Rhinolophus ferrumequinum: one gene and its partners. The protein of the gene in region 4 interacts with the protein of the main gene of each other region in a biochemical or structural test. Links are inferred from orthologs where the notes say so. Each region holds a gene or a part of one and is shown on either strand. Other genes may lie near its edges.

Evidence for each region.
Region 1: the proteins of CREBBP (region 4) and HOXB6 form a complex in vitro, tested with the Homo sapiens proteins (2 studies listed by BioGRID). The link is inferred for Rhinolophus ferrumequinum from reciprocal best matches to the Homo sapiens genes CREBBP and HOXB6.
Region 2: the proteins of CREBBP (region 4) and MYOD1 form a complex in vitro, tested with the Homo sapiens proteins (4 studies listed by BioGRID, with this or other methods). The link is inferred for Rhinolophus ferrumequinum from reciprocal best matches to the Homo sapiens genes CREBBP and MYOD1.
Region 3: the proteins of CREBBP (region 4) and UBE2I form a complex in vitro, tested with the Homo sapiens proteins (2 studies listed by BioGRID, with this or other methods). The link is inferred for Rhinolophus ferrumequinum from reciprocal best matches to the Homo sapiens genes CREBBP and UBE2I.

What each region holds. Positions count from the first base shown.
Region 1 is NC_046304.1:34,459,969-34,467,785, forward strand, and holds HOXB6 (homeobox protein Hox-B6), read left to right. Parts: upstream 1-4,808; 5' UTR 4,809-5,152; coding exon 5,153-5,567; intron 5,568-6,592; coding exon 6,593-6,852; 3' UTR 6,853-7,477; downstream 7,478-7,817. UniProt on the Homo sapiens protein: Sequence-specific transcription factor which is part of a developmental regulatory system that provides cells with specific positional identities on the anterior-posterior axis.
Region 2 is NC_046294.1:36,066,240-36,073,421, forward strand, and holds MYOD1 (myoblast determination protein 1), read right to left. Parts: upstream 3,005-7,182; 5' UTR 2,853-3,004; coding exon 2,223-2,852; intron 1,754-2,222; coding exon 1,675-1,753; intron 1,386-1,674; coding exon 1,135-1,385; 3' UTR 449-1,134; downstream 1-448. UniProt on the Homo sapiens protein: Acts as a transcriptional activator that promotes transcription of muscle-specific target genes and plays a role in muscle differentiation. Together with MYF5 and MYOG, co-occupies muscle-specific gene promoter core region during myogenesis.
Region 3 is NW_022680357.1:3,163,336-3,170,673, reverse strand, and holds the start of UBE2I (SUMO-conjugating enzyme UBC9), read right to left. Parts: upstream 3,004-7,338; 5' UTR 2,862-3,003; intron 1-2,861. UniProt on the Homo sapiens protein: Accepts the ubiquitin-like proteins SUMO1, SUMO2, SUMO3, SUMO4 and SUMO1P1/SUMO5 from the UBLE1A-UBLE1B E1 complex and catalyzes their covalent attachment to other proteins with the help of an E3 ligase such as RANBP2, CBX4 and ZNF451.
Region 4 is NW_022680357.1:5,205,660-5,213,510, forward strand, and holds the start of CREBBP (CREB-binding protein), read right to left. Parts: upstream 3,014-7,851; 5' UTR 2,172-3,013; coding exon 2,087-2,171; intron 1-2,086. UniProt on the Homo sapiens protein: Acetylates histones, giving a specific tag for transcriptional activation. Mediates acetylation of histone H3 at 'Lys-18' and 'Lys-27' (H3K18ac and H3K27ac, respectively).

The DNA of each region.
Region 1 (7,817 bases), on a different chromosome or scaffold from region 4:
GGCGCCTGATTTCATTACCCAGCCAGGCCTCCTGGAGGGGGCGTGGGGGTGGGGGGAAGAACCTTCGGGCCAGAGACTGAGATTCCTAAAGTAGCTGATTGAGTGCAAGAAGGCACAAGCCGCTAGGTGAGGATTTGAAAATAGAGTGAGAGGGCTTCTGCGGAAGCTGTAAGCCAAGAGATAAGAGACTTTGGGCGCGGAGGGCAAGAGAGACTGATTTAGTTTTGTTTGCATGAATAGGTGATTGCTTTTCTTTTTTTAAAAAGACCAGAGGCAGAGCGTTCAGCCTCGGGCCTCTGGTTGCCCAGCGATTGCGGGGTCTGGGGATGTGGAGGGCAATATTGGTCCTCTCAGTCCTGAGCTGGGAAGAGAGGGACATAGCCACTTGTAGCGCGGGAGGGGGCCCCTGGAGGCCCAGGTAGATGCCCTCCCAGCCGGCCTGGACTGGATGCCTGGAGGGACCCCTCGCTGCGTAGCCAGAGAAGTTCTCAGTCAGCACCCATGGCACTCGGAGCCTATTCTCAAAGGAAAAAATTCCCCAAACCCACCCAGACTAAAGATCTTTTTCTCCTGTAGTCTCGACGGGGTATAAATCATCCCTTAGACAGTTTGCTCTGACCCAAATTATGCGGTTTGCTGCCATCTACCGTCCGTTTGGAGACATGCGGCTTCGGTAAGCCCCGCGACGCTGCCTGAACCACGCCGGACGCCTGGAGCCTGGCGGCTCAGGTTCCGTGGGATTTGGTGGAATTTGGGCCCAGATTGTCGCTTTCCGCTGGATTTTGGTTCCCGCCCGCCGGCGTGTGGATTAGAGAACAAGAGTCCCCTAACTGCTCGCCCGCCCTATCCCGGTTCCAAACCTGGCGGCTGGCTGGGGAAGCAGTTTTTTTCTAGGACATATTTAAAGAGGACTAATACTGCATCCCGCGGGCAGGGGGCCCTGAAACGAAGGGTTGGGGAATCGCTGTCGTGAGCCCCCACCACCCCCCACCGCAGGTGGGAGAGGGGATTATCCGGGTCGCTCCGAGATCCGAGGCCAAGGCTGTTCAAGGTTTATTTGGTTTTCTTTTCGGCCAAGGGAGGGTCCAGCTGAGGAGGCGCCGGCCCGGCAGTTCCACTCGGTTGTCAAAAGACAACCGGGTCTGTGTTCTCCCGGTTGGCTTGTGGGTCTTGGCCAGTCCCTTGGCCGGTGAGTCCGTGACGAAGGAATTGAGCCGAGTTTTCTGGAAACTGATGGTGTCTGCAAGTGAGTGTGGGCCCCTCCCTCATTCTCGATCGTTTCAAGCGAAATCGACTCAAATATGCTTTGGGGGAAAATTGGGAGTAGGAGTAGAGATGAATCATTAAGGAACCAAACCAATCATTAAGGAACCTAACCATCGTAATTTCCGTTCCTGCCGGACCCTTCACACCCGCTTTCCCAGAAGGGGTGGCGAGGGCGGGGGTCCTCGCCTCTGCTGCCGCGTTTGAATATTGGCCCCTGTCTCACGGGTTACTGATTAGCCCGGGCTTTCAAGCCGCAGGAGGAAGCTCTGGCCATTCCTTTCAAGGTGCTGTGGCCCTGGTTCCTGGGCGGGGGCTCCAGGAAATTGCCTGTAGTGCCAGGCAGGCCGAGGTGTTACCAGGGCCTGGCCCGGGAGCTGGAGGAGCTGCCGAGGTCCAGGGGCCCAGCGGTGCTGGGGGCAAACACGGCGGCTGTCGTCGCGGGGTGAGTCTGGGCCGCAGGGGAAGCCCTTTCAGCTTTTCCGCAGGGAGAATGACTTTCTGGCGGCTAGAAGGCGCGGCCCAGGGAGGGAGGCCCCGAGGGAGCACGCCCCGAAAGTCTTGGGCCCCTCGGGATTTTTTCTTGTGGGCAATCCAAAGGACAGATATGGAAGGGAAGGCGTCTGGTACAGTGTTGAAACAGTTCAGGGCTCTTAGGGTGCCGGCAGACCTGAGGGGGTGGGAACAGGGAGAGCGAGCTGAGCACCGCTGCCCTCCCCACCGGTAGAGCTGGGACATTGCCGCTCATTTGCATAATGGAAATTATGTCTTTGTACCGCTCTGGACCGGCCCATTTTTAGGGCCTGTCCCATCTAAACAGCTCCCAAAGGTTGGGGGAGGCCACACTGCTCCCTCTGAGAACATTTATGTTCCTCAAATCCAGAGAATCACAGATTTGGGTTGTGATGTTTTAATTCGCGCCATCGTAGTCAGAGTTGGGAAAGTGGTGGGGGAAGGTGCCCACAACCCAAAGAGCTGGAGGTGGTGGGAGCTTTGTAGCTGAGAGGAGAAGGGAAGCCTGGACAATGTCTCAATCTCCCCTCCCCTCCACATACATACAGGCAAATACCCCTCCCTGAGGTTGCTGGTACAGGAGAATTTTACTCCTGAGCTGAACACAACCAAGACATTTCCCTGGGAGCTGGAATGTGTGCATCCATAGGAGCGTCGATTTGCAGCACAGAAAACTACAATTATAAATCCTGCCTGTGGGGTTTCTGTACCATCCTTCTGTTGTGTACTCAAGACTTGGTACACATTTATATCCACCTCCCCATACACAAGCTATCTCATGGAGGCAGGGAGAGACACCCCACACTGGCAGATGGGCTGTGTTGCTGTGTATTTACATATCCCCCCTTGGAGACAGACAGATGTGGGCGGCAGTGGACCGAACCACAGACAGATTCTAGAGATCTGGCTCCAGAAACCAGGCGGTCTCTGGCCCAGCTCTGCCTGCCTGCTCGTTCTCCCAAACAAACGGATCAGAGGAATAAACGCTCATAAATACCTCTGAGCTTAGATAAGAGCGATGAGGCGCTATTTCCTTTCATGCCGGACTCCAGGCGCCCAGGCCCTGCCTTTGCGGCTCCATCTCAGGACAGGCAACCTGCAGAGGTGAGGTTAATTTGGGGCTATGACTCTAAGGATAAGGCAGTTATTTTCCTGCTTCTATATCACAGGGGAACCTTACTTTGTCCAGGCTCCACACGCAAGACCAAACCTGCCAGTCCTAAGATGAGGACATTGTGGTCAGGAAGGAGGCAGAGAGGGCTGAGGCCCAAGGTCCAGCCTCAGTGGCAGAGAAGGGGGAGGTGTATCTAGGCACTCTCCCATCTTGCTCCCCCTGCCCAAATATTCCCCATTCCTCTTCAGGAGTGGGCCCAATCACAGCTAGATTGGAACATTTATGATTTTCCCTCATTAGGAGGCTTGAGTTTTATTTTCTTAAATCTTGATAAAATGGCCATAGAATCAGGCTGGGAAGGGATCACCACTTGGTCATGAAAGTGGAGCCTAGAAATTGTCCTGAATTTAGGAAGCCTTGTAGGCCACTTTACAACCATTCGCGTTCTTACCCTTAGTCACCAACCTCAGCCCTCTACTATTTTCCCTAGTGTCTTGTATCATCTTCAATGGCCAGAGCTGGCCCACCAAACGGAACCCAAAAGGCAAGGTAGAGAGGAAGCTCAGCTTGGCCCCTTCATCAGATTTTATCCCACAACCTGGCCCATTCCTGGCTCCAGGTCCAAAGGTAGTCACCTTGTACTGCCTGGCCACCACATGCATATTAGAATGTTGAAAAACACATTGTGGCTCAGGCCTCCAGCCTGGCTTTAATGTTGATTTTCCTTAGATGAGAGAGCCAGAGACATATACTCTCTCACACACCCAAACTTGAACCACACACAGCAAAGCTGGTGATACAAACGTGAGATGTGGGAAGGATTGTACAAGTGCTGAGACAGAAGGGGGGTGAGCATCTGGAGAGGGGATGCAGGCTGATAGTTGTAAGCTGCCTGCTAAGTCCCCAGGAGGACCCAAACACCCTTCCCTCTTTATAAAACCAAACCATAATCAAGTCTTGGGAAATAATTGATTTAAAAAAGAACTTCCAGCTTCTGAAGAGACTTGGAAAAGGTGCAAGGGTTCCTCTCTTCCCAGTGGTCTCTGATCGCCTCAAATATCAGGAGGGCTTGAGGACCCTAAACTGGAGGACCACTTTCTTCCCTACATCCACTTTCTGAGACAACCTTGATTCCTAAGAATCTGTAGCTCAGGATATTCTTATATCTTTTGGGCAAGACGTGGGGGTGGAGTGAGGGTTGCTGGCAGGATAGGGATCAGGAAATCTAGGCTGGGGGTCACCCCTCACACCTCCTCTCCATATCCCTAAGTGAGGAGAGGGCTAATCCCTTTCTCCAGTGCTCCTCCCTGTGCCAAGAGCAAGTGGTGCATACTAGAACCAGGCGAGATGTCTCCGGCAGCAGCAACCATAGCCTTCCAAAAAGCTCCTAGCCTAGCCGCAGAGCCAGAGGGAGAAGACCCTCCTCCTGCTTCCCTGCATCTCGGGTCTTCTGGGCAGCAGGCTCTGGCCTGCCCCACAGACCATAAGAGTTGTGGAGAAGCAGGAATAATAACCCTGGGTTTGGAGGAGACAGAGAAAATCTGAGAAACAGAAACAAACAAACAAACAAACAAAAAACGGTTTTCAAAACCTGGGAAGGAGATGGTTTCTTCTTCGACTCTCTTTCTGAAGACAAAGCTAATTAGCAGAGAACTCTTCTCCCCTTCGACCAACACAAAACCCTAGAAACAAACCTTCTCCTTTAGTTCCCTTCTAGCCAGATTGAAATTTGAGATTCAGGGATGGTTACCCACCCTTCCTTTGAGGGAATGGGACTTAAGCAACGCAGGGGTTAACTTTTCTGAAAACACAATTAACTTTTCCCTATTCTGCGTGGGGAGGGGAGGTTATATTTATTTAATCACTGGGGAGTGGGGTGGTCTCAACCCAAAGCTCCCTCCTCCCTCAAAGGCACAGACGCTTCTTTCGCAGATCCTACGTAGGTGGAACAGGACGCGTCGGGTTGTGGGGAGAGAGAGAGAGAAAGGAGAAGGAGGAAAAAAAGGTTGATAGGTTTGTGCGCGGGTCCCTCGTGCCGGCTGCGCTCCTCCTGGGTGCTATTTGACAATTCCTGCCTCTGCCATTGGTCAGTGTTGGATCAGATGGTTGTATTTCCTTCTGGCCCTCACTGGCACCTCGCCATCCCCCCTCAGCTAAAACCCAATCTCAGATATACTACTAATAGGCGCGGCGCTCGGACTATAAAACACAACAAATCATAAACCCGGCGGAGCAGCAGCGGCCGTGCGCGCCTCCCTCCCAATGAGTTCCTATTTCGTGAACTCCACCTTCCCCGTCACTCTGGCCAGCGGGCAGGAGTCCTTCCTGGGCCAGCTACCGCTCTACTCGTCGGGCTATGCGGACCCGCTGAGGCACTACCCTGCGCCCTATGGGCCCGGGCCCGGCCAGGACAAGGGCTTTGCCGCCTCCTCCTATTACCCGCCGGCGGGCGGCGGCTATGGCCGAGCGGCGCCCTGCGACTATGGCCCGGCGCCGGCCTTCTACCGCGAGAAGGAGTCGGCCTGCGCTCTCTCGGGCGCCGACGAGCCGCCCCCCTTCCATCCGGAGCCGCGGAAGTCCGACTGTGCACAGGACAAGAGCGTGTTCGGCGAGCCTGAGGAGCAGAAGTGCTCCACGCCCGTCTACCCCTGGATGCAGCGGATGAATTCGTGCAACAGTGAGTGAGACTCCGCCGTCGCTGCGACCCCTGCGGGCCCCCACCTCGGGAGACAGAAGTAGCAGCTCCCCATTCTCCAGCTGGATGCGGGGTGCGCATCTCAGTTAGGAGTGAAGGGGAGATGGGGCGCTCGCACTGGGGCTTCTGCTCTGGCCTCTCACCCTCAGTTGTTACAAAGTTTGCAAAGTCCCAGCCGCACTCGGAGGCAGGGTAGCGAGTGGGCTCTCGGGGGTGGCAGGCCAGAGCAGGGCTTGCGAGTCAGGGCAGGGGGCAAGGGCCGCAGTCATGCGCTTGGCTTTCCCTTGCGCCCCCAGACCTGGTAGGGTCCCCCATCCAAAGACTGTTCCATTAAAAACCGAGTGCGTCACGGGAAGGGGGGCGGCGTGACGCTGGCGAGGGAGAGTGGACTTGTCCCGGACTGTGTTTCCCTGGGGGCGGGGGGTTGGGGAAAAATGAGGAACCAGGAAAGGGGCGGTAGTCAGAAGACGGAGGGAGAATAAGGGGAAGAAGGAGCGGGGTAGCGGGCGGAGGGGGAAAGTGGCAGAAGCAGGCGCCTGGGTCTCAGGTTGGATTATTTGTCGGCCTTAAGTCCCAAATTGATGTCCATTAGCGGGACACGAAAGTGAGGAGCCGTTAATGCCGACTATGGATCGATCCACGTCATTACGGATTAAGGGCTGGAATCTATCACACGGTGGTGCGGGAGCTAGAAGGATGGGGAAAAAAAGATCTGGCCAGGAAGAGACACACCTGGCCAGTATACTTTCCCAGCCCCTCCCCCTAGACTCAGGTGGGATTTTAAACTGCTCCTCCCATCCCCCACCATAAGTCTAGACCGGAATCGCAGGCCTAGGAGACCCGGAGGGAATCTGGAGGGGGCGCTGGAGGGTGAGGGGGGTGGGCAGGGAATGTGAGATTGGAGGGCATCCCGGGACAGGCTGGAGTCCTTGTTTGAGAGTCGAATGGGGGAGGGGGACTCTAGCCCTAGTGACCTCAGGCCTCAGCATCTCTTCTCTGCGTAACAGGTTCCTCCTTTGGGCCCAGCGGTCGGCGCGGCCGCCAGACTTACACGCGCTATCAGACCTTGGAGCTGGAGAAGGAGTTTCACTACAATCGCTACCTGACCCGGCGGCGGCGCATCGAGATCGCACACGCCCTGTGCCTGACCGAGCGCCAGATCAAGATTTGGTTCCAGAACCGGCGCATGAAGTGGAAAAAGGAGAGCAAATTGCTCAGCGCCTCTCAGCTCAGTGCGGAGGAGGAGGAAGAAAAACCAGCGGAGTGAAGGCGCTGGAAAGGGAGGGGGGACGCGAAAGGAGAGGCCTGTGGGCAGCCGTGGGCATCGGAGAGCCCCGAGAAGGCTCTGCAGGCGGGGGAGCCCAGGGACCTGCTCTCCAGCACAGACAGGTGGGGCCCAGCGCTCTCCTGGACGCCCCCACCTGCAGAGCTCTCGCTGTGAGCTGGGAGGCTGTGCCTCCTGAGCCCACCCAGCACCCCGTGCGCCCCCTCTATCCGCGTGGAACCCGCCTCAGCCCGATCAGCCCCCCTCCAACCCGTGAGAACTGAGGACCGGACTCACTTGATGTTTCCTGGAAGCAGAGCAAAAAACACTCTTGTCCGTGTCGCGTCTCATTTCGTCCATGTCCCCCGTGCACGGTTTCAATGGTAGCTTCGCAGTCCCCTCAGCGGGGGCCTCGAAGACTCCCTAACCCCAGACCTCTCTCCTACCCCCTACCCCTCAAAGCCACTGGAAGGAGCACATACTACCTAGAAGTAAGAAGAGGAGCCTCAGAAGAAAACAAAGTTCTATTTTATTAATTTTCTATGTGTTGTGTTTGTAGTCTTGTCTTAGCTCGGGACGTGAAATACTTCGGTAATAATATTAATATTATTATTAATGATGATAATAAAGAAGTAAAAACTCGCCGCTCAGTCACCTCTGCTCGTCCCCTGCCACTTCCCCACCCCTACAGCCACCCTGTGGTCCTTTGCCGGAAACTCCGCAGCAAAGACAGGAGTCTGGTAGGCCCCAGCGGGCCCGACAGGACTCGGACGTTACAGTTCAGATAAAGGCTGGAGCCGTCCTGCCCATGCTCCGGCGCTGCGCCTCGCGGGTACTGAGGCTCAGAATGGCCTCTCCAAGGGCAGTCTTGGGGGACTGAGAAAGGTCGTTTCCCTCCTGTTCTCTAGCTTTTCCTCGTTTGTCCCTGGCACGAGGGACAGCACAGAGGCCTCCTAGCCAGGAGCCCC
Region 2 (7,182 bases), on a different chromosome or scaffold from region 4:
TGAGTGGCACCTGGGGCCATTACTTCCCAGTGATCCTTCTGGACACCACACCTGGGTTCACTCTGTGTATGGAGGCGTGTGATTCTCAACCTTGCATTTTGAAAAATGGGGAGCTTTTGAAAAATACCAACTCTGAGGTTCTGGGGCAGATACCTTAAAGCACAACCTTTGGTGGCGAGGAGACCAGGCATGGGTCTTTTTGAAAACTATTCAGATCATTCTAATCTGCACCCTGACAGGAGAACCACTGACCTGCGTGTGGTGCTGCTCCTCACCGTCTTAGAAACCTCCCCACGTATGGGAGGCACATCGCTTCTTTCTCCTGACCTCAGGCTTCCTCCTTGCAATCCACCTGCCGCCTACAGGGCTAGTTGCGGTACTCCTTTGTGGATTTTCCGTCCCCTCAAAATCCTGCCCCCATCCCTAGGGAAAGCCGGAGCCACCTCGGTATAAATTAGCGTTTTTATTTCCAACACCTGAGCGAGCGCCCGCGGCTCGCCCGCTGCAGTATAAACATACAAAGTGCCTGTCGCACCGCACACCATGCCTCAGAGATAAATACAGCCCTACGGGCTCCTGCTCTGTCAAAGCAACTCTTATTTACAGGAATAGATTACAAAAGTATTACAAAAAAGTGGTCCTGAACAGGGGGAGGGGTGAGAGTGGTTACCGTTACACTTGTTACACTTGGGACCTGAGCGCACCCCGCTGGCTGTGGGAAAGAGCGCGTGTCTTCGGGGCTAGCAAAAGGAGAGGCCACGCCCCCATAAGCGACCTCGGCGTCAAGGGACTGGGGTCGGCGCGGTTCCCACCCCCATGGGGGAAAGTGTCGAGGAAGAGAAAGGGCCTGGCCCCTCCAGAGTCATCTGTGGCCCACCGAGGAACACATAACGGCCATCGCAGCGGGTCTCAGAGAAGGGTGCTGCGTGGAAAAAACGGGCTGTGTCCTTGCCCTGGGGTGCGGGAGGCAGGAGACACATCAGTTCTCCTGCCTATCCTCCCTTGGGAAGGGTCGCTTTAAAAGCGCAGTTGGGGGGGGCATTTAAGCTCAATCTTTTGGGTGCGAGGGACCCTAGGGGCACCATCCCTCGGGCAGGTGGACAGCGACGTCCTCCGACGCGGCCGCCCACACCCTCAGAGCACCTGGTAGATCCGGTTGGGGTTGGCGCCCGCGGGGCACTGAGGAGCGGCGTCGGGGGTAGGGGTGGGGGCGCTGCGATCGCCCTCGCTCGGGGCGGCGGCCTCGTGTGGGCCGGGAGACAACGCCGGCGGCGCGTCGGCCAGCAGAAGCGCGGGCGCAGTGGGGCTGTCGGTGGAGATGCGCTCCACGATGCTGGACAGGCAGTCAAGGCTCGATACCGCAGCGTTCTTCCCGGGCCTGGGTTCTGCGCGGGGAAGGGTAGGTTAGTATGTAGGTGTTGAGCCGCGGACAAGTCTCCAACTTCTGGGCCCAGTCCTTTGCGGCAGACGGGAAACTGAGGACCTGCCATTGTCTGGGGCTATCCAGAGAGAGTGGGGAGCGAAAAGAGAGGGAGCTACATGCTTAGTATTTCCTTCCTTGTGCCATCTGCCATGATGTGTGTGTGGAGGGAGGAGGAGGGATGGGGCAGGGATCCTAGATAAAGGGAAGCTAGGGCAGGTCAAAGAGTAACGTGAGGAGGCGCGAATACGCACCGCTGGGCGCCTCGCTGTAGTAGGTGCCGTCGTAGCAGTTCCGCCGCCGGACACCGCTTGGGGGGCCGCTGTAGTCCATCTGCAAACGGCAAGGGCGACCGACTCAGGCCCGTGGGACCAGGCGAGCCTGGAACATCACTCTCTTTGGCCGCCCCTCCACAACTTCCCAAATCTCACCCTCGAATTTCCTGCCCTGATAGGGGTGGGGGTAAGGGTGGGCAGGAGCTGTCTGCAGTATGCAGGGCCAAATAGAGGGCAGACTGTCACCTAGGGCTACAAATCTTAATTTTGATAATAAGGACAAGTGTAGAAAAAGCAGACCACGGCGCAGAGGTGTTCTAACAGTGCTCCCCATCGAGTGGATTGCATCTGTACGATGTGTTCCCAAAACACTAGGCCACCCCAGTGGCAGCTGCCCGGGACAAGGGGTCCACTCCTGTCCAAACCTCTCCCTGGAGGGTCAGTTAGCTCCCCGCCCTCGGAATGGCTTCCCAGATACTCCCGAGAGCTGTCCCCACTTCTCTTCTAGCCCGGGGTTCCAGCCTTACCATGCCGTCGGAGCAGTTGGAGCGCGGGCTGGACGCGTCCGAGTCGCCGCTGTAGTGCTCACCGCCGCGGCCGGGGGGCAACGGGCCGGGCGCGTAGAAGGCGGCAGCGGCGCCAGGGGGCGCGGCGTCCTGGTCGCGCAGCAGCTCCTGCAGGCCTTCGATATAACGGATTGCGTTGCGCAGGATCTCCACCTTGGGCAGACGCTGGTTAGGATTGCTAGACGTGCAGCGCTTGAGCGTCTCGAAGGCTTCGTTGACTTTGCTCAGGCGGCGCCGCTCGCGCATGGTGGCGGCCTTGCGGCGGTCAGCGTTGGTGGTCTTGCGCTTGCATGCCTTGCAGGCCCACAGTAGACAGCGACCCGCCTGGTGGTGCCCGCTGGGCGCGCGCACATGCTCGTCCTCGCGCGCGCCGGGGGCCGGGTGCACGGCCGCGGGGAAATGCGATGGCTCCTCGGGCTTTAGGAGCGCGCCCACGTGCACGAGGCGCGGGTCCAGGTCCTCGAAGAAGCGCAGGTCCGGGGAGTCGAAACACGGGTCATCGTAGAAGTCGTCCGTTGTGGCAAAGTTGCAAAGAGAGCCGTCGGGGCCAGTCAAGTCTACGTCGCGGAGTGGCGGCGACAGGAGCTCCATATCCCGGCGGGGAGCAGCGCAGTCCTGGCTTCGCCCAACCCCGGAGGCAGGGATTGCCCGAAACTTTCTTCGGGTCTCCTGCAGCGCGATAGCGAAATGCTGGGGGTCTGACCGTCCAGTACCCTGCCCCGTCCTGTCCCGCCTGATGGACTCCGCGGAAAGTAGCGGCAGCTCCCTGGGGCTTCTCCACCCCTATTTTCACGCCAGGCGCCGGGGGCGGGAGCGGGCGGCTGGGGGCGGGGGCGCCCGAGGCCAATAGGAACGGGACGGGGCGGAGCTTGGGATCCCCAGGGTGGCCGCAGGGGCTAGAGACTGGCCAGGCCCCGATCCCTAGACGCGCGCGCGCGCGCGTGGTCCGGCTCCTCCCTAGGCAGGAAAGGAGGCAGAGGCTGGCAGCCCAATGCTGCTACACTTGGCTCCCGGGCACACTCTTCCCAACCCTCTCCAGCACAGGACTCCTCCTATCTCTGCGGAAAACGCTGGCCGCGCGGGCTCTCACTTCCCAGCTGACTTTGGGCCCCTCTGTCCTCTGATTTGCGGGGGACCCAAAGCAGAGTAGGAGTAGAAATCAGACCTGGAGAAAGACACATAGCAATGGGGTAGAGACACACGTAGAGCTGAGATAGTGAGAGAGATATATGCAAGAGGCTGAGACATTTAGCGAGCAGAAAGCTGGGGAGTCAGAGGCGGAGAAACGCGCAATGAGAGATAGACCCGAGAGTCAAGTAGGCAAAACTGAGATAAAGTGGACGTGGTGACCATGCCATTAGGCCAGTTCCTGCTCATTTTCCCTGGACGCTTAGAAATCCAGTCTCATTTATACAGGAGTCCAGGATCACTACTAAAGCTTCATGCCAATCTTTCCAAGCTCAACTCCTGCCCCGGCCTGGAGGGAGGGAGGGAAGTGGACGCCTGCCCGAGTCAAACTGTGCATTTTGGCAGCCAGGTGTCCAGTGCTGCTCTCAGAGATGCCTCTTCGGCTGGGAAGAAAACGCCATCTCCTTGGGGCTTGCCTCCGCCTCGCAGTGCTGCATCAGGAAAGTTCATCGCGCAAAGGCTTGGAAAGCCCAGACTCCAGAGTGGAATCTTTGAGGGTGGAGTTTACAGACCAATGACCTAAGTTCGAGTCCAGACCCCCAGTTTCATGCGTGATTTTGTGCAAGTCACTCGCCTTCCGATCCTGTTTACCCATTGAGGACAACAACAGCAATCTCTTAGAGTGATTGTGGTGGTCGGTGGTGAGATTCTGGAGACCAAAGATGTGGAAGCCTTCAGTCTGAGATGTAAGGCTATACTAGCAAGAGGGATTGCTTCTGTTGCTGGCACCGGTTGGCTGGTGTGCTCTCTGTGGGCTTCCCAGCTGTTAGCTGGGGCACAGAGCCCTGCCAGGGGCCCATGTAATCTTAGGGCTCAGCTCCCAGAGGCCGCAGCTGCATTTCTTCCCAGCAGGCCCACTGCAGAGACTGGGGATAGGAGGAGGCAACCACTCCATGGCATCTCTGGCTTCCTCACAAGCCTGAGGTCCCCCTACCCCCATAGGTCTGCTCTGCAGTTCACACCTTCCTCTCTGCACTCTGGCTAGAGGTCTCCCTTGAACCAGATACACCTACTGAGGTCTCTCTTCCTAGAGCCAAGAGATAAAAGCAAGAGTGATCTTTGTGCCTCTCCCACTAACTTCTGGGATCTGTCCTAACTGACCCTTGGGTGCTGGGAAGTCCTCCCTTCCCATCAAACCTCGAGGGCTCTCTTGGAGCCCTGCCTTCTTAACTTCTCTGCCACTTGTGGTAGTGCTGAAGGTCTTCTTCGTGAAGTGCTCAAGTCCCTTCATTCCATAAAACCACCTTCATTTATTCATTTAACACATTATGGAACATCCATTATGTGCCAGGTACCTGTCTAGGTGTTGGAGACAGAGCAATGAACAAAACCAAGACCCTGCTTTCATGGTGCTTTCATTTTAGGGTAGGGTGACAAACAATAAACGAATGAGCAAGGAAGTATATAATGTCAGGAGGTTATAAGTTCTACAAAGAAAAAGAAAACAAGGCAAAGGAACAAAGTGATGAAAGTTATTTCTCTGGGCTGATTATATTTGGGCAGAAACCTGAATGAAAGGAGGGCAGAAGCAGATATCTGGAGCCAGATAGAGGGAAGAGCATGTGCCAAGGTCCTGGGCAAGACTGTTTGGCAGACTTAAAGTGCAGCAAGGAAGCTGGTATGACTAGAGCAGGGTGAGCAAGTGGGAGAGTGGTGGGGGATGGGTCAGACAGAAAGCAAAGGAATTGTATTCTGAGATGGAAAGCCACTGGAGGGCTTCAGGAGAAGAGAAGAATGTCACCATCGGACTTAATTTTAATAGGAGGATACTGGTTATGGAGAGCAAGGGCAGAAGCAGGGAGACCGATTAGGAGACTATTGCAATAACCCAAGTGAGTGGTGATGGTGGCTTAGATCTGGCTGTCAGCAGTAGAGATGGTGAAAGTATTTGAATTCCAGATATATTTTGAATAGGGAGCCAGCAAAATGTATTCGTAATTGGATGTGGGCAGTGAGACAAAGAGGAGTTAGGGTTGACTTCTGAAAGAATGAAGTTGGGGAAGAGTAAGTCTGCCAAGAGTCCAAATTTGGGCAAAATTTGAAATAAGTATTCAATATCCAAGTGGTGATGACAGGTAGGCAGGGGGATTTCTGAGGCTGGCATTCCAGAAGGGAGATCTGGTCATGTGGAAGACCTGTCCATTTGACCTCTAAGACATCTCTCAAGTCTGTCCATCCCCAGTGTGACCACCTTGGATTAAGCTGCCACACTGCTGGCTTGGGTGACCCCAGTAGGGGATGCTCTCCTCGTTTCCACTCTTGCCCCTGTATAATCCATTCACTACACAGCAGCCTGAGTCATCCTTTAAAAGCATAAATGGGATTATATCCCTCTTGTGCTTCAAACTCCCCAACAGCTTCTCATTGCATTTAGAATAAAATCTCACCTCTTCACCCTGGCCTGTGAGGCGCTGCACGACCTGCCTTCAGCCCATCTCTGCAATTTCACCTGGAACCACTGTTCTCTTTGGTCACCCCATTCTAGCATGACCTCCCTTCCTGTCTTCCAACACTTGGAGCCTTGTGCTCGCTGATTATCGCAGTCTCTTCCAGGCTCTTCCCAACATCGGCTGCTTTTTATATATCACGTCTCAGCTCAAACGTGACCTCCTTGGGATGTCTCTAAGACATCCTCTCTAGGACAGCTGCATCACATCACCCTGCTCAGGTCTTTCTTAGCACAGCCGCTCTTTAGTTATCTTCTTTATTCGTTTGCTCATTGATTGACATAGTCCCATCAAGGCAGGGATGTTTGATTCACCATGGCCTTTTCAGAAACCATCACAGTGGCTATCACACTGTAGGAACTTGATAAATGTTGAATGAATGAATGCGTGGCCTCATGCCCTTTGAATTTCTATGCATATATTTGAACTTCTTGAAACATGTCTTTAAGGTGGATGGTTGTATTCCTTCTAAACTGGATAGTCGCATACATGATTAGACATACATGCTCAGTCATACTTGCTTTTTCCAGGCAAGACTCAGGCCCACGGGGCTGGGACATGCTCCTTTAGGTTGAGCGATTATACATGGCCTGCTTTAATATTGTCTTTTTTCATTTGACTTACACTCACAATGAGGAACATAAATAATGTGACATTGGTGATTTAGATTGAACCAAGTATTTATCAAGCCTCAGCAGAATGCCTGGCACATAGTAGGCACTCAATAAATACTTGTTGGATGAATGAATGAATCAATCAAACCGTTTAATTGAAGAGTACCCTGAGATTCCAAGTGAACTCTTCAAACCACTTATCCGTACGAATCTAGACTTCTCAGACCTGAGCAAGCAAAGAAAACATAGAAATAATTTGGATACCGAGACTGAAATGATTACAACCTTGCTTTTCGTGTTTTGCATTCATAAAAATCACCTCAGCGCCATCATCAAGGTGACTCTACAGTAAATAAATGTTATATGTTCGAGCTTACTGAACGCATTTAATATTTTATCGCTAGTGGCTTAGAAATCTAAAATGCTTTGACAGTTTTACACTTGATTTGTAGTTTCATCTTCAGTAATTAGGAAGCACTGTTATGAAACCACACACATGCTAGTGGTGCATGCCACTTTTATATTAGATTTCCAAGTGGGATTTTGTTTGCTACGCAGTTTCTGATGCTTAAACAGGGTGGCACTCACTGGACTCAGCGACCGTGACAGACCCCTCCAGGCCTGGGACCCGTGCCTGCTCAGGGTCACTCTCCTGGTTGTACCACCACCTCT
Region 3 (7,338 bases), about 2.0 Mb from region 4:
TTGGGTCTGTTCATTTCCTCCCTGTCCATGGACCTGAACCCGGGGAGGGGTGTAAGCAAACCTGCAGGGACGCTGCCGTGGGTGTGTGTGTGTGTGTGTGTGGAGGGGGGAATCCCAAGAGAGGAAGCCACGTGCTGGGAAGTGCTCGGTGCCAGGAAATGCAAAGCAGGGCGACAGGAATGGGAAGGCACTTGCTTTTAAATCGTGGCCAGGCAGCCCCCCCGGGCACAGCCCGCAGCCCTCAGGCAGGAGGCAATGTGGGCCAGAGGAAGGCAGGGTGGGCTCGCAGGCAGAGGTGGGAGCCTGCAGGGGGCGGGGCAGAGGAGCGCCCCACCGGCTTCTGTCTTTAAGGCTCTCTCTGCTCAGACGGGGGCAATGACAGTGACGACAGGCTGGGAGGCTGGGGCGGGAACCCTGATGTCTGAAAACTCTTCATTTCTCAGTTTCTCAAATCCTTCACTTCAACTGGTTCTTCTACATGAACGACCCAACAACCTTTACATCGCCAGCAGCTATGCCCTGGCCACCCCCGGGCCAGAGGGCACAGCACACATTAGCCCCCAAAGGCCTGCTGCCCACTGGCTTCCCCACTGACAGAGCCCTCAGAGGGCAGGCCCCCCTCCCCTGACCAGGGCAAAGCAGACAGCGCAGACTGGCAGGACGCTTCTGCTGAATTCATGAACACAGTTCTGTGACCGACGACAAGCAGCCTGGTAAGCGGCTGTTTAAGTGAGGCAAAGGTCCCTAGCAAGTCTGAGCTAGGCTAGGCATCAAAACAGGTTTCTGAAGCCCCAGGCCAGCTCTGGAACACGGAGCAGCCATGGACACCTGCGTCCACACAATTCCCCCAGTGCTCTGGGGGGGGGGGACTGCGCCGAGCCCAGGCCACGACTCAGTAGGGTGAACTGCCTGCCTGCCACCCATGTGCCAGGACCGCGCCTCTTCTGCTCTGAAGACCGGGCAAAGCTGCCCACGGAGGCCCTGTCCCACCTAGTGCCTAGCTGTGGCGGTCCCAGGTGTGAAAGGTCAACGAGGGGTAGTCCCACAGGAGCTCCTGCAGCCCCCCTCCCAGGGGAGCCGAGGGACCAGGCCAGGTCACAGTAAGACTTTCTGCCATCAGGGCACAAAGCCACAGGTGCCCACCAGCACTGTCCCAGGCAGAAGCCTGGTCTCCAAGATGGTGCTTCCGCTCCTGCGGGCCGCCCAGGGTCCAGGAGAAAGCAGCCAATATATTACATTTTAATTACAACACTAGGAAGCGCTCACTCAGAATCCCACTTAACACGGAACCTGCCTTCCCCAGCGAACAGACAGGCACTTAAGGAGCGTTATGTGTTACGAGATGCTTCAGAGCAGCAAAGTTGCAGATGCAAATAGAACATATCCGTGAACTACTAGAGACGCCCGCAGGACAAAAGGCCGAGTTCACCAAGCGGGAGGGAGGTCTGCCCTCCACCTTCCTCCAGGGCCCTGTAACGGGCTGTCCTTGAACCTGTTCTTCTCCGATCAGCTCTGCTGGTTGACAGCACGGACTTCAGAGCTTCTTACTGGCTGTGGGAGTGTGGCAAGCTGCTCGTCTCCCCCAACCTCAACTTCCTCACCTGTAAAATGGGGGGGGGGTGGTACTCAGACCCCACAGGTTTGCCCAAGACGAAACAGATAGTGCATGAAAAACCCTGGATGGGCCTTTTCCACACGCCCACAAATTCCCCCAGGGGAACAGCCTTCTCTTGCCTCACCCAAGCAACCTGCACTCAGGACACCCTCTGCCCAGGCTGTACTTCCTGTTCTCGTTTGACAAACCTCCCAGGACCCCAGGCTGTTTCTGAAGCAAGGTCCCAAACACGGACTCTAACCAGACAAAGGTGCAGCAGGACGCAGAATTCACCCCTAAGCCACCCAAAAGGCCGCAAACAAATTAGGACAAATTAGGATCCATCTCCCTTTTCTGTCGGGTAGGTCCTTTACCTAAAGGCAACGTTTCCTGAATGGCAAGAAACATTTGTGGCTACCCTCTTTAAAAGGCAACAAAAAGCCAACTTTGCAAACACAGTACAGTAACTTTGCAAACCGCGGAGCCAAGCACACTTTCCAAGCATACAAACCAGACCAGTTCACACTGTGATTCAGGAGCGACTGCAGGCCGTGATCCTGAGCCCAGCTAATCAATCATTCCCTTCCCTTCCCTCCTACTCACGAAACCACCAATTCCAACCTCTGTTCAATTGATACAAAGCAACCTGAAAAACAATTCTGCCTCCGGCGAAGCGCCGCCGGGCAGGGTCCCACCAACGACAAGAGGAGCTCTCGAGAGGCGCAGGAAAACTCAGGCTTGTTTTGGTTTGTAGACATCAAACGCAAATCCCCCAAACAAGCCAGCGATTTTGCAATCCAAGACTTTCAACTCTCTCTGCTGGGCCTTCTCTCCCCGGCTGGAAAGCGCCACAGGTTTGTGAGCACAGCCGTGACCCCGGAAACGCACGTCCCTCGCAGGAGGGAAGCGCCTGTCAACCCCGCCTCGGCTCCCCGGACGCACCGCGAGTCCGCGCCGGAGGGGACACCCCCCACTTTCACAAGGGAAGGCGACGGGAGCCCGAGGGAGCAAGGCCGGGGCGACGCCGAGGCCGGGGCAGCAGAGTTGGGCCGTAACCCGCGGCGTCAACTGCTCGGAGGCGGACGGTTCCCGGGCTTAGGGGCCTGGGCGGGTCCCGGGGCGCGCAGGGGGCGGAGGTCGGGGCCCAAGGGTTCGCGGGGTGGAGGGGCGCCCGCCCGCCCGGCCCGACGGCGGCAGAAGCCCCGCGCAGCCGAGGCCCGGCCCCCATCCTGCTGCCGCTTCCTGCGCGCCCCCCGCCCGTGCTCACCTCGGGCGGCCGCAGCCCGGCAAGCGAGGCGGACGAGGCGGCGGCGACGGTGGCGGCGCGGCGCTTCCTTTGTCTCGGGACTTCCCTCCCGAGCCCGCTCCGCGCGCAGCCCGAGCGCTCCGAGGACCCCGGCGCGGGCGGGGCGCGGGCGGGGCTTGCGGAGGCTGCCCGCCGCATGCCTGCTCTGCACGCCGCCGCCGCCGCCCCGCGCCCAGCGCAGCCCATACCGCCGTTCGCCGCCCGCCGCCCGCGACCCGCTGCTGCGCGCCCACGCCCCGGGCTTGCCCAGGGAGTCCGGCCCGGGGGCGATTTTCCAGTCAGGCGGCGCTCTGGACACCTGGGCCCTTAAAGGAGCCGCGTCCCCGATGTCAGGGAGCGTCTACAAACTCCCCTTCGCGACGCGCGCGTCAACTCGAGGACACGCCGGTGAGCAGCAGGAGAAAGAGGAGGCCGAGATCTCCAAGGGCGCCCCAGATGCCTCGTGGGCACCTTTCTGGGCACGGGTCCCGTTGGTCTCCTTGGGGCTAAGACCCAGGGCCGGGGGACAAAGACCACTGAGGCCTACGGATCCCCAGAAGCGTCGCAGCACGGTGACGATCCTCCGAGTACTGCGTCTGTGAAACCCCTTACAATTGGCCGGTTCGGGGCGCTGGGCGGGGCGTCCATCGAATTGTCCCAATGAGCTGACCCCATACAAACGACCGAGAGCTTGCCCGACCGACGGGAGGAAAAGTGCGGACGCTCCCTAACCCAGGGGCTGGCCGAGGGGGAGGGGCGCAGGGGCTGCGAGCGGGAGGCCGAGGTGCGGGCTGGGACCCCTGCCCGGCTCCTGCAGTCAGGGTCTGGGGGTCCACCCCCAGCCCTTGTGTGAACGCTGGTCCTTCCTGGCCTCGCTGAGTATCTCCCCGTCGGGCCAATTCCCAGGGCCAGCTTCATTGCCCAAACCCCAGCTCTGGGTGGGGAGAGGGCGCTTCCCAAGGTCAGCCCGCTCCGCCCGTGGGCGCTTAGGGATCAGGCCGCGATGGGTGTGGAGGGCGCCTGACCCTAGCCGCGCAGCGGGGGGTGCTGGACAACCCCAGCGATTTGCATTTACTCCTTTCCCTCCCTTTTTTGCTTCCTTCCCTCCCTCCATCTCCCTTCTCTGGCCCTCCCCCCACACCCCCAAGTGCCTCTTTTGGCCCTGTGCTCAGAGACTGTTGGCTTCCCCAGGGGCTGGACCATAGGTCCGGTGTACTATGTCCCACATCTGGCCCAGTGCTCTGAGTGGACGAATTCCATGTGCTCCTAGCCATCCTGTTACTCTGGGGCAGTAAAATGAAGCTGAGGGTCTCCTGGGTGTGGTGGCTCTGCTTGGCTGGATTGGGGGTCTGCCTACGATACCTCCTGGTCAGCCGTGGCCCAGAGAGAAGGCGTGGCTATAGGGACTGGGGTCCCAGGTGACAAAGGCCGGAGGGCCCCTCCGGCGCCATTGAGCAGAATGTGAGCGTTCCAAATCCCTCCCAGACTCTGAACTCCAAAGAGGCTGCTCTCTCCTGGGTCCCCACAATGATTCAGTATCTGCCTGGCCTGGGGACGCTGCCTGCTTCACCCAGGCAGCTATAGTTCTCAACCTCGGGGTGCCAGAAGCATCAAGGGGCTTGTCTGTGACACCCTTTCTCTGGTTCCCCAGCCCTGGTTGGCCAGCTCTGAGTAGTCCTCAAAGTGTGCCTTATATAATGAGTGCCCCGGCGAGGCCTGCCACACACCTCAGCTGAGCTACACTGGAAGAAACCAGCTTCCTGCTGAGGTGCATGGGCCTTAGGTACCAATGCCATCTTTCTCATTCGGGTGCCAGGAGGTTTGTTTGCACAGGGCTGCTTGGGGAAGGCACGCCGCAAATGGCCAGTAAAAGGTGGTGGCCATTGCTGGAGTCAAGAGAAGAACCAGGAGCCCAAGAGGGCTCAGCATAGCCAGGGGGCAGAGGGAGGGCGCAGCTGGTGGCCTGGATGTGGCGTGTCGTGGAGGGCCTGGGCCTCCACATTCTGTGGGCCATGGGGAGCCATGAAAGGTTGTGGAGCAGGAGACTCAGGGTCCTGGGTTCCATGTTTGTGTGTGGAACTGGAGATGGTGAGTCGTCCAGCAGAGAGAACTTCCATCCTGGTGAAAAGGGGTGTGAGGCCCAAAGTCCCTCATGCAGGAAGGAGAATGTTGGGACTGGTAGATGGAGAAGGAAGCGTGTAGCAGGAGGGTGGGTTGGAAGAGGGCAGGGAAGCTACCTCAGATCTGGTATCGTCAGCCCAGGAGCCTGCATCTGGCACACACGTTCTCAGTGATGGCCCCTGAGCCATCCATTCATCAGTCAGTTCACAAGCATTTATCCAGCATTGACTGGCCTTGAAGAAACTATGTTGTAGACGGGGCCACATGGCAGGGCCCTGGGGCAGCATCCAGGAGCTGAGAATGGCCCTCTGCCAACAGCAAGCCAGCCAGCAAGAAAGCAGGGACCTTGAGACTTCAATAACAAAGAGCCGAAGAATGCCACAACCAGTGAGTTTGCAGGAAGTCCCTCAGCCTCAGATGAGGACTGGAGAATGCCACCCCAGACTTTGGAGACCTGGAGCAAAGGACCCCACTAAGCCTGGGCTTCTGATGCACAGAACCTGTGATAATAAATGTGCTTTATTTAAAGCTGCTAAGTTTGTGGTAATTTGTTACACACTAATAATTAAAGTACCTGGTTTAGGTAGGGTGGTCAGGGAGGTCTCTGAGGAGGTGACCTTGAAACAGGAAGGGAGAGCAACATCCAGTTGTTGGGAGGGCTGGGGGAAGAGCCTTGGGGTCAGGAGCTGGAGGTGGGGTGAGGAAAGGCCGAGAGGCTAGGGCAGGGTAAGCCGGGGGATGGTGGTACGGGGTGCAGTTGGAACAGGCAGTGGGGACCAGACCTCGAATGAGATTTCCAATGTGCTGGTAAGTTTGCTGTGTGTCCAAAGTGAAGCACTTCCAGTGGGAGGGGGGATTTGATTGGGTCCAGCTCCCTGAGTACAAAGGAGAAACAGGTTTGCAGAAGGCTTTGTGCAGAATCAGTGAATATAAAACGGGGGAAGGATTCAAGCTGATTGTACCAGGTCATGTGGCCACCTGGTGGGGAGGGAGTGGTAAGTGTGATTGGGAGCTGCCTAGAGTAGGGGCAGTACCCTGTCCCCTGGGTTCTCGCCAGGGGGCCGAGCTGTGGGCACGAAGGTTTGTGTGCAGGGTCCATTGTTCAGGGGCTGGCTTAAAAAGAAAGATCTAGAAGAACGAAGTTGGACTCCTACCTCACACCACATACAAAACTAACTCAAAGGCCTAACGTGAGGGCCAAAACTATAAAACTCTTAGAAAAGAAAACGGGAAAATCTTCATGACACTGGATTTGGCAATAATTTCTTGGCTATGACACCAAAAGCACAGGCAGCTAAAGAAACGGATAAGTTGGATTTCATCAAAATTAAAAACTTTTGTTCCTCAAAGGACTCATAGTAGCAAAGAGGCAATGAACAGAAAGGGAGAAAATATTTGCAAATTACATATCTGATAAGGGAGGTTAATATCTACAATATATAAAGAACCCCTTCAACTCAACAACAACAACAAAAACACCAATTCAAATATGGGGAAAGGGTCTAAATAGACATTTCTCCAAGAAGATACACAAATGGCCAAAAAGCACATGAAAAGATGCTCAAGACCACTAGTCAGTAGGGAAATGCAAATCAAAACCAGCAGGAGATACCACTTCACGCCCAATGGATAGTTACTATCAAAAAATGGAAAACAACGAGCGTTGGCAAGAATGTGGAGAAATCGGAAGCCTTGTGCATTGGTTATGTAAAATGGTGCAGCTGCTGTGGAAAAGTCTGGAAGGAGAGACGGCTGGGGGCCTGAGGGAGCCCATGAGGGCCTGGACCTGTCTCCCTGAGCTTGGGAACTGTCTTTGAAGGATGAGGAGCCCCACATTCCACTCTGGGGGGGGTGCATGCGGACTGCAAGGGGGGGCACCGTCCCCTCCCCACAGCCTCCATCTCCTCCATCCCAGCCCTGGGGCCCTCTGCTTCCTTCTGCTCCAGCTGTGCCGAGGCCACATCCTGGGGCTCTGGGGTTCTTCCTGCCCTGCAGCCCAGACTAGCTAGGTAGAGCCTTTCACACAATGTTCCTATGTAGCACTGACTTGGCTGTGGGAGTGTCGGGGAAGATGCTGGACCAAAGCTGAGCCTAAGCGGAGGGTTCTGGAAGTGCCACCACGGGCATGTGCACCTTCGGACCATGGAGACAGATATCTCCAGGTGTGCCCAGCCCCCCTTCCAAGGGGCTCCCTTTCCAAGCTCCCCAAGGGAACCCTCTGACCCCAAAGGGCTGGGGAACCCCTCTGATCTCTGCCTGACTCCTTGACCCTGGCCTGGCCCCACAGGACACAGGAGTGCCTTCTAGTGGTCCCAAGCTGGGATGCTGAGGCCGCGGG
Region 4 (7,851 bases):
GGAAGGGGGAAAAAGTGGGCAAGAATGGAAAATCCTTTTGGATAAACTTTGATGTACTTAGCAGCACATTAAGTATCTGACCATTCAACAACGGAACTACCCAAAAGGCCATCCTTTGGGCTCCATCTTGGAAACAGCAAGATGTATATACTGTGTTTCCCCTAAAACAAGACTTAGCTGGAAAATCAGCTCTAATGCATCCTTTGAGGCAAAAAATAATTTAAGATCTGTCTTATTTTACTATAAGACCCGGTCTTACATTAATTTTTGCTCCAAAAGACACATTACAGCTGATTGTCTGGCCAAGTCTTATTTTCGGGGAAACACAGTAGTAGATCAACCTTTTTGTTAAGTCTTGTGTTAATTTGTTCCTCTGTATAAAACAAAATCTGCAATAACCTCATTCAACAGTAGCAAAGTTGCAAAGCCATCCAAAAAGTTACCAGTTTCAGAGACAAGCTTCAAAGCTGAACTTGCCTGGTATGATCTACTTTTCATATGATTAAAGACTTTTCACTCAAAAAAGGCAAGATTAATGAAGCAAAGGAGATCTGCAGTAAAAGAGCATTTAAATCACAGTTGTTTCCACATTTCTCACTTCAGGTAAGGCGATTTTACAAGACTAAAATCAAACTCAACTCTTTATTAGTTCTTAAAAGAGTATTAGTAACTTTCATATCCCATGACACTTATTTACTCTTTCCCACTGTAGAACGAATTTCATTTTAATTAAACAACAATCTCCTTGATAGATTTTTACGTAAATTGTTTCTCTCACTTCTACATTAACGAATATTCTAGGAATTGTATTAAAACCAAAGCCATAAAATTCAAGCTCTGTTTCAATAGCAGAAATAGATTTTTAGACCACGAGTAGAAATGTGCTAGTGGTCAGTCACAAAAATATTTGCAGAAGCTGAACAGCTGTGTCTACTGCAAATCTGAAGGCATTGCTGCAGCAAATCTAATTCAATTTGGACTCATTCATTATAAACTGATTTTCAGATGCTGCTACTGCAAAGCCGTACTGGAAAAATGCAAGCTGCGCCCGGAGACAGAACTGTTCCCAGAGGCGACAAGTTCTTACTGCCAAGGAGAGCTCTAAAAGAGGAAATACAACTAGTTCATAATGCTACCATGAACCAGCCCAGAAGAACCCAGAATTATTAAATGAATAGAAAACTAAAATATTTCTCTTAGGCAATTGATAATGATTACCTAAGGAAGTTTACAGGAAGCTGCTTAATGAGAAAAAGATTTATTCAGTATCCTGCTAAAAGAATTGTTTTTGAAAAACCGTAATTCCTGTGTTCCCTAATATTTTTCATACATCTACACTGTAAAAGTAACACGAGCTCAAATGGCGATTGCAGCCCAAATGAATCTATTTAACTTTTTTTTAAGGTTATACATGTGAAATTAAACACACCACAGTAACTTTTAGAACATCCTGCTAACAAAGTTTGGGATTGTGGAAAATGGAATGACTCGGTTGACCAAACAACGAGAGTTTTCAAGATAACTACTAATGTGCTCCCAAAGAGCACAGAGCACATTCCAAGAAACTTCTAAGTCGTAACTCATAATCTGGCTGTTGCTGAGTGTCTTCTGGTCACAGCGTTGCGAATGTGTCACCAATTCAGAAAACACTTGGGGTCCCCTTTCGGCGGCACTATTTGCTTCTCTATCCGTCAAACTTACCCTTTGCTGTCATCCCTCCAGACAGCCACGCGTGTGTCGACACACGGCGGCAGAGGGAGGAGTATGGAATCACCACGCAAAACAAACAATCTCCTCTTTACTTTTTCTCCCTGGAAGTACCACTCGGTTTCCACGCGAGAAAGGTCCACCAACTCCGGGGAACCCGAGTACACCCGGGCATGTGAGGCCCAACTCGGGTTCCACGACAGTCTTCCTAAAAACTTCCCGTCTCTGGCGGAGCTCTCGGGGAAGGGGCTGCGCCGGCCTCCACTTCGGGGAGCTCCGCACGCCCGCCAACGAGTTCGGCTCTCCGGAGGACACTCACCTTCGGGGGGATCTGACAGCGACCCCCGGGGCTCCCACCCCCGCTCAGCCCCCTCCTCACCTGTGCTGTCATTAGCCGAGAAGCCGGGCGAGCTGAGTTTGGCTCTTTTGGGGTTGGGCGGTCCGTCCAGCAAGTTCTCGGCCATTTTCACCTGCTCGCTGAAACAGCCCCGAACGCGGGCGGCGGGACCAGCGAGTGCTCCGGAGCGGGGGTCGGCGCCGGCCCCAGCCGGCTACGAAGGGAGAGCAGCGAGCGCGAGCGGCGAGCCGCGAGCGAGCGCCGAGGGAGAGGGAGGGCGCAGGGCCGGGTGGGGGAGGCGGCGGCCAAATCTCAGCCACAGCAACAGCGCCCCGCAGCGCTCACCGCCCGCCCCCGGCCGCTGCCGCCGCCGGCCGCGGCCCCCTCATCCCCTGCCCGCCTCCCGAGCGCGACACTCCGCGGCGGGGGCGCCCCGGCGGCCCGGCCGCCCCCACGGGCCCGGCTGGTAGCGACGGCGCCCGGCTGGCCGGCTCAGGCAGTCCCCGGGAACATGGTGCCGCCGCCGCGCCGCCGCCTCACTCCCCCCCCCCCGCGCCCCACTTAATTAATTCGCTCGCGGCCCGACGACCGGGGGGCTCCGGGCTCCGCTCTCTGCCCGCGGCCCGCCGCTGCCGCCGCCGCCGCCGCCGTAAGAAAAAACAATGCGCGAAGCGGGGCCGCCGCCGCCGCCGCCGCCACGGCCCCCCCACCCCCCGTTCCGCCGCCGCCGCCGCCGCTGCCGCCGCCGCCGCCGCCGCCGCCGCCGCCGCGGCTCCGGGAGGCCGAGCCGAGAAGCGAGCGGGGCCGCCGGAGCGGGCGCCGAGGGCCGGGCGGAGCGGGCCGGCCGGGCGGAGCGGGGTGCGCGGGCGGTTGTGGGGCCCGGGACCGGCGGGGCCGAGTAGATCGCGCTCGAAGCCCCGGTCGGGTCCGCGACAAGATGGCGGCTGTTGATTCCTCAATTAAAAAAAAAAGAAAGTTTTTTTTCTTCTCTTTCCAGAGCCTGAACGGGGAGGGGGAGGGGGCGGGGCACGCCGGTGCGTCACCCCCCCGCGGCGTCACCACGCACGGCCCCCGCCCCGCCCCCTCCACCTGCGCCGGCCCGGCGGAAAGAGCCGAGCGAGCTCGGGTAGTAGGGCCGAAGGCGCGGCTGCGGTGTGTTGCGCGGCGGGGCGGCGGCCGGGCCTACGGGACCACGGACGCCGGGCCCGGCGGACACTTTTGTTCTGACCGCGATTGGGCTGCCGGGCCCCGCCTGGCCGCGGACCGGACCCCAGGCGCAGAGTCGGCACCGGCCGGGCCTGTCCGTCCCTCTGGGGCGACTCTGCCGGGTCCCGGCTCCTCACTTCCCTGCCCGCGATGTCCAGGGCGACACGAGCCAAGCCTGGTCACTTCCCCTTGCCGGATGCCAGCGATCTGTCGTGGCCTCTACAGGTTACAGACCGCCCTAGGTCCGCCTGCGAGCTTGTGCAAATGGGGAAACTGAGGCAGGAAGTGGCAGGGCCGGGATTCGAACTTCCGCTGTCAAAGTAAAATGAAGGGGACGCAAAACTCCTGAGCCCCTGCTCCCCAGCCCAATGCGACGGGGTCCCAGGGGCCGACTCCTCACCTACAAGGGAAGGTGGTGAGCGCTGTTCCTACCCTGGGCTGGGGCGCGGCCAGCCTGTGCCAGGCCCAAATGGCCCCTTACATCCGGGCTTGGGCCCTGGGAACTCCGCAGGAGATCCAGACAGGTGTGGGGTCCGGCTAGTATAGCCACTCCCCGCGGGACAGTTCCACAAAAATCTAAGGTTTGCATCCCAGTTTTATCTGTTCCTCCGACTTGCCTGGCGCCTCATCCCGAAGTCCTTATCTGAAAGGTATCACCAGCAACCCTGTTTCCTAAGCCAGAAACCTGTGAGTCAACTCAGACTCCTCCCTCTCTCTCTCCACCCACCGTGCAGCCAGTCTGCCCACGTCCTTTACCTGGGGAAACGGCTCTTCCTCCCCATCCCACTGTCCCAGAGTCGTTCAGCATCGCCCGGGTGGCAGCTTCCCAGTTAAACGTCCCTTGCGCTCTACATTTCTCCCCACGCAGCACCAGAGTTAACTTCCTGGAAAAAAACGGAAAGAACTCTGTTTAAAATAAATAACTCCTACACATAGGGAAAAACAAAACACACACACAAAAACTATATATATAGTCTTTAAAAAATAAAAAAAGAACATGTGTATAGTCTGTTTAAAATATGTGTACCAAAAGAGATTGTCTTCCAGTGTCAAGACTGAATGATCTACTTTTTTCTATTTATATTGCTCAAAATCTTGTACTGCCCCCACCCCTTGCTTCTGTCCCTTCCACTTTCCATCCCTCATTCCGCCATCACGTCCCTTCACCTGCTCAGCCATTAGGAAGTTCTCATCATTCAGGCCTTTATGTATTTTTGCAAATACTGTTCCCTGTGCTGAGAATATATATGTCTGGCAAACTCTAACTCACCCTCCAAGACCCAGTTCAAATGTTACCTACTCCAGGAAGCCCTCCTAGCCCACCTAAAGACTCCCACAGCACTCTGGGCATACCTCTATGAGGACACATCCCACAGTATGTCATTATTTTTTTTATCCATTCATGTTTTATTTATCCATCAAATATCCCTGAGAAACTCCTGAGGTCACTGCCGTTGGGCTAATCGTTTGGGTAAAGAAGAAAGAAAGGAATCCCTATATATTCAAGGATGCCAAGTAGCAAGCCTTGGAAACCATAAACAGAAGTATGTAAGAAGTCAATTTGCAGAGCCAGGCAGGAAGTGTATCGAGTCACAGAGTAACATAGGGCTGGCAGCATCCTATACCTGAATGTACCATGTGTGTCCCTCTCATGATGAGTCTGCGGGCCCTTTGAGAGAAAGGGCCATGTCTTACTATGTACAGTGCCCTCCAAGAAGTAGGTTTGTAACATGAATGAATGAATGAATGAATGAGTGAATGAGTGAATGAAAATGAATAAACACTGTCAGGTCCCCTGACTCCCCAAGGCTTTCAGTGCCCCCTGAGTCCTAGAGGCCTCCAGGCTCCTGAGAAAGGTGGGCTCCAGCCCGAGGCAGTTCCAGGCCACAACCCCACAGAGGAGACAACACGTCAGGTCACTGAGAAGCCTCAGTCAGGGTCTACCTTGGTTCAGTAGGGTTACCACCTGGCCCTCAGGGTCCCTCAGTAAATTATTTACACAGCCATGTGCACATGAACTTGCAGCATACCCCCATCCGTGGGCAACTATGACACAGGTCGTGCCCCATTTTACAGAGAGGGAAACTGAGGAGACCCAGTTCAAATGACCCAGAGGTAAATGGCCTGGATATGTCAGAGCCAAGGCAGAAACACAGGTCTTCAAACTCCAATCACATGCTCCTCCCTGACCACGTTCAACATTAAAACATGTCTCATTTGTATCATTTTGATCAATTCCTCTGGTATTTCCTGACATCTGCTTTTTCTTTCCTATTTCTTCTCCCCTTGTTTTGACTCTTCCAAAAACGTTGTGCTCAGAATTGATAGGGGAATAGCAAGGAAGTTAGCTGTCTGCCTGCACATCCTTAGCTGGGGATCAAGGTCAACATAGATAAAAGGGACCCAACACTGTTGAGTCCCTTCTGTATGTCAGGCCACTTTGCGACATGCTGCACTTGGATCAGCACTTCCCACAATCCTGGAAGGAAATATCATTGTCTTCATTTTATAGATGAGGAAATAAAGCACAGAGGAGGGCAAGTCACTCAGTTACTAAGAAGCTCAACTAGGGTTTCCAGGCAGGAATTCCTGCCCGTTCTCAGGAGTTTTTTTCATTTTCCCGTTCCCGAATCCCAAGATATAAACTGTTTTCTGTTCTCCATGATGAATCCTTTCCACAAAGTGACAGCCAATACTACCAACCAGCTGGGTTCAAGGAGCCGATTTTCCCGATTTCCCGACCAACTTTTCTCGGGATTTGGGAACGGGCAAGTGAAAAAATTTCATGAGAATGGGCGGGAATTTCCACCCGGAAACCCTAGGCTCAACTGGATTGCAAACCTAAGGCTGCCTGCTCTTTCCACAGACCTCACCCTCTCTAGTCAATCCCAGAGGCTACAGGACCAAGGAACCCCACTTACAGAATGCTTAGGGGCCAAGAGAATGAGGTGAGGAGGGGCCAGCAGAGGAACAGAAGGTAGAAATCAATCAGGAAAGATTTCCTGAGAGAAGTCCATTTGAATCCCTCAGCCGATGAATGGATACACATACTGTGTTACATCCACACAATGGAATAGTATTCAGGCATACAAGGAATGAAGCACTGACACAGGCTACAACCTGAATGAACCTTGAAAACGTTATGCTCAGTGAAAGATGCCAGTCACCAAAGACCATATATTATATGTTTCCATTTATATGAAATGTCCAGAATAGGCAAATTCACAGAGACAGAAGGTAAAGTAGTGGTTGCGGGGGCGGCGGTGGGGGCAGGGGCTGAGGAGAGAGGGGAGATAGTGGATGGTAGTAGCTAAAGGATATTGGGGTGATGAAATGTTCTAAAATTAATGATGATGATAGTTGAACAACTCTGAACATACCAAAAACCATCGAAATTTACACTTTGAATGGGTGGATTGTATGGTATGTGAATTATAACTCAATAAAGCTTGTTTTTAACATATCAATTTAGAAAGAAGGAAGAGAGACCAGGAATGACGGAGGGAGGCAGGGGCTCCCAACAGAGGGAAACAAGTCAAGGGGCCAGCTGGTGGAGCACACAGAGATCGGCACGGTGGTGCCAGGAGGAAGGCTCCAGGAGGGGTAGATTTGATGTGACTGGGATTTCCCAACTGGGGGCTGAGGGATGAACTGGCACACAGTAAACGAAGACCGAGATTCACAGACTGAACTAGAAAAAGAGGAAACTGAAGAGGAGAGGCTTTCCCCCCACACTCCAGTTGCACAATCAGCTGCCTCCTGCTTTGGACCCCAGTGGACACCTCACACCCAGTGGGCTGCACACAGAGGCCACAACCCTCTTCCCACACCAGCTCCTCCTCACGTTCTCCCCGTCCCAGGAACACACCCCTCTCTTCTGTGGCCTACCTTCCCACCTCCCCTGTCCAGAACCTTTACCCCCTCCCCCAATGACTCCTCTGGAGGGTTTATTACCCTCCACAGGGAACCCTTACACGGCTCCATCTCTTCCATTCCCAGACAAACTGCTTGACCAAGTTGTCTATACCACAGACCTCACCCTCTCTAGTCAATCCCAGAGGCTACAGGACCAAGGAACCCCACTTACAGAATGCTTAGGGGCCAAGAGAATGAGGTAAGGAGGGGCCAACTTGCTTCCTTTGCTACCATTCACGGTTTTGATTTTTTCTCACGAAAAATTTCATTCTGGGTGATGAACACACAATGTGATTTATAGATAATGTAATACAGAATTGTATACCTGAAATCTATGTAACTTTACTAACAATTGTCACCCCAATAAACTTTAATTAAAAAAAAAGAAAAAAAAAGAAAAGTTCCAAACAAGTAGAAAATAATACATAGACGCTCTGTCTACGTGACTAAGGTACACAATGTTAACATTTTGCCACACCAGCTTCAGATCTTTATTTTACTTATTTAAGAAATAACATGTCAGAGACAGAGCTGAAGCTACCCCCTATTTCCTGTCTCCCTCCACCAAAGTCACCACTCTACTGAAGTTGGTGTGTATCATTACCCTGTAAAATGTGGATTTTTGTTAAGTCGAACCATATGAAACTGCCAATATTTGACAGTTTTTGATCCTGTCCAACATAACA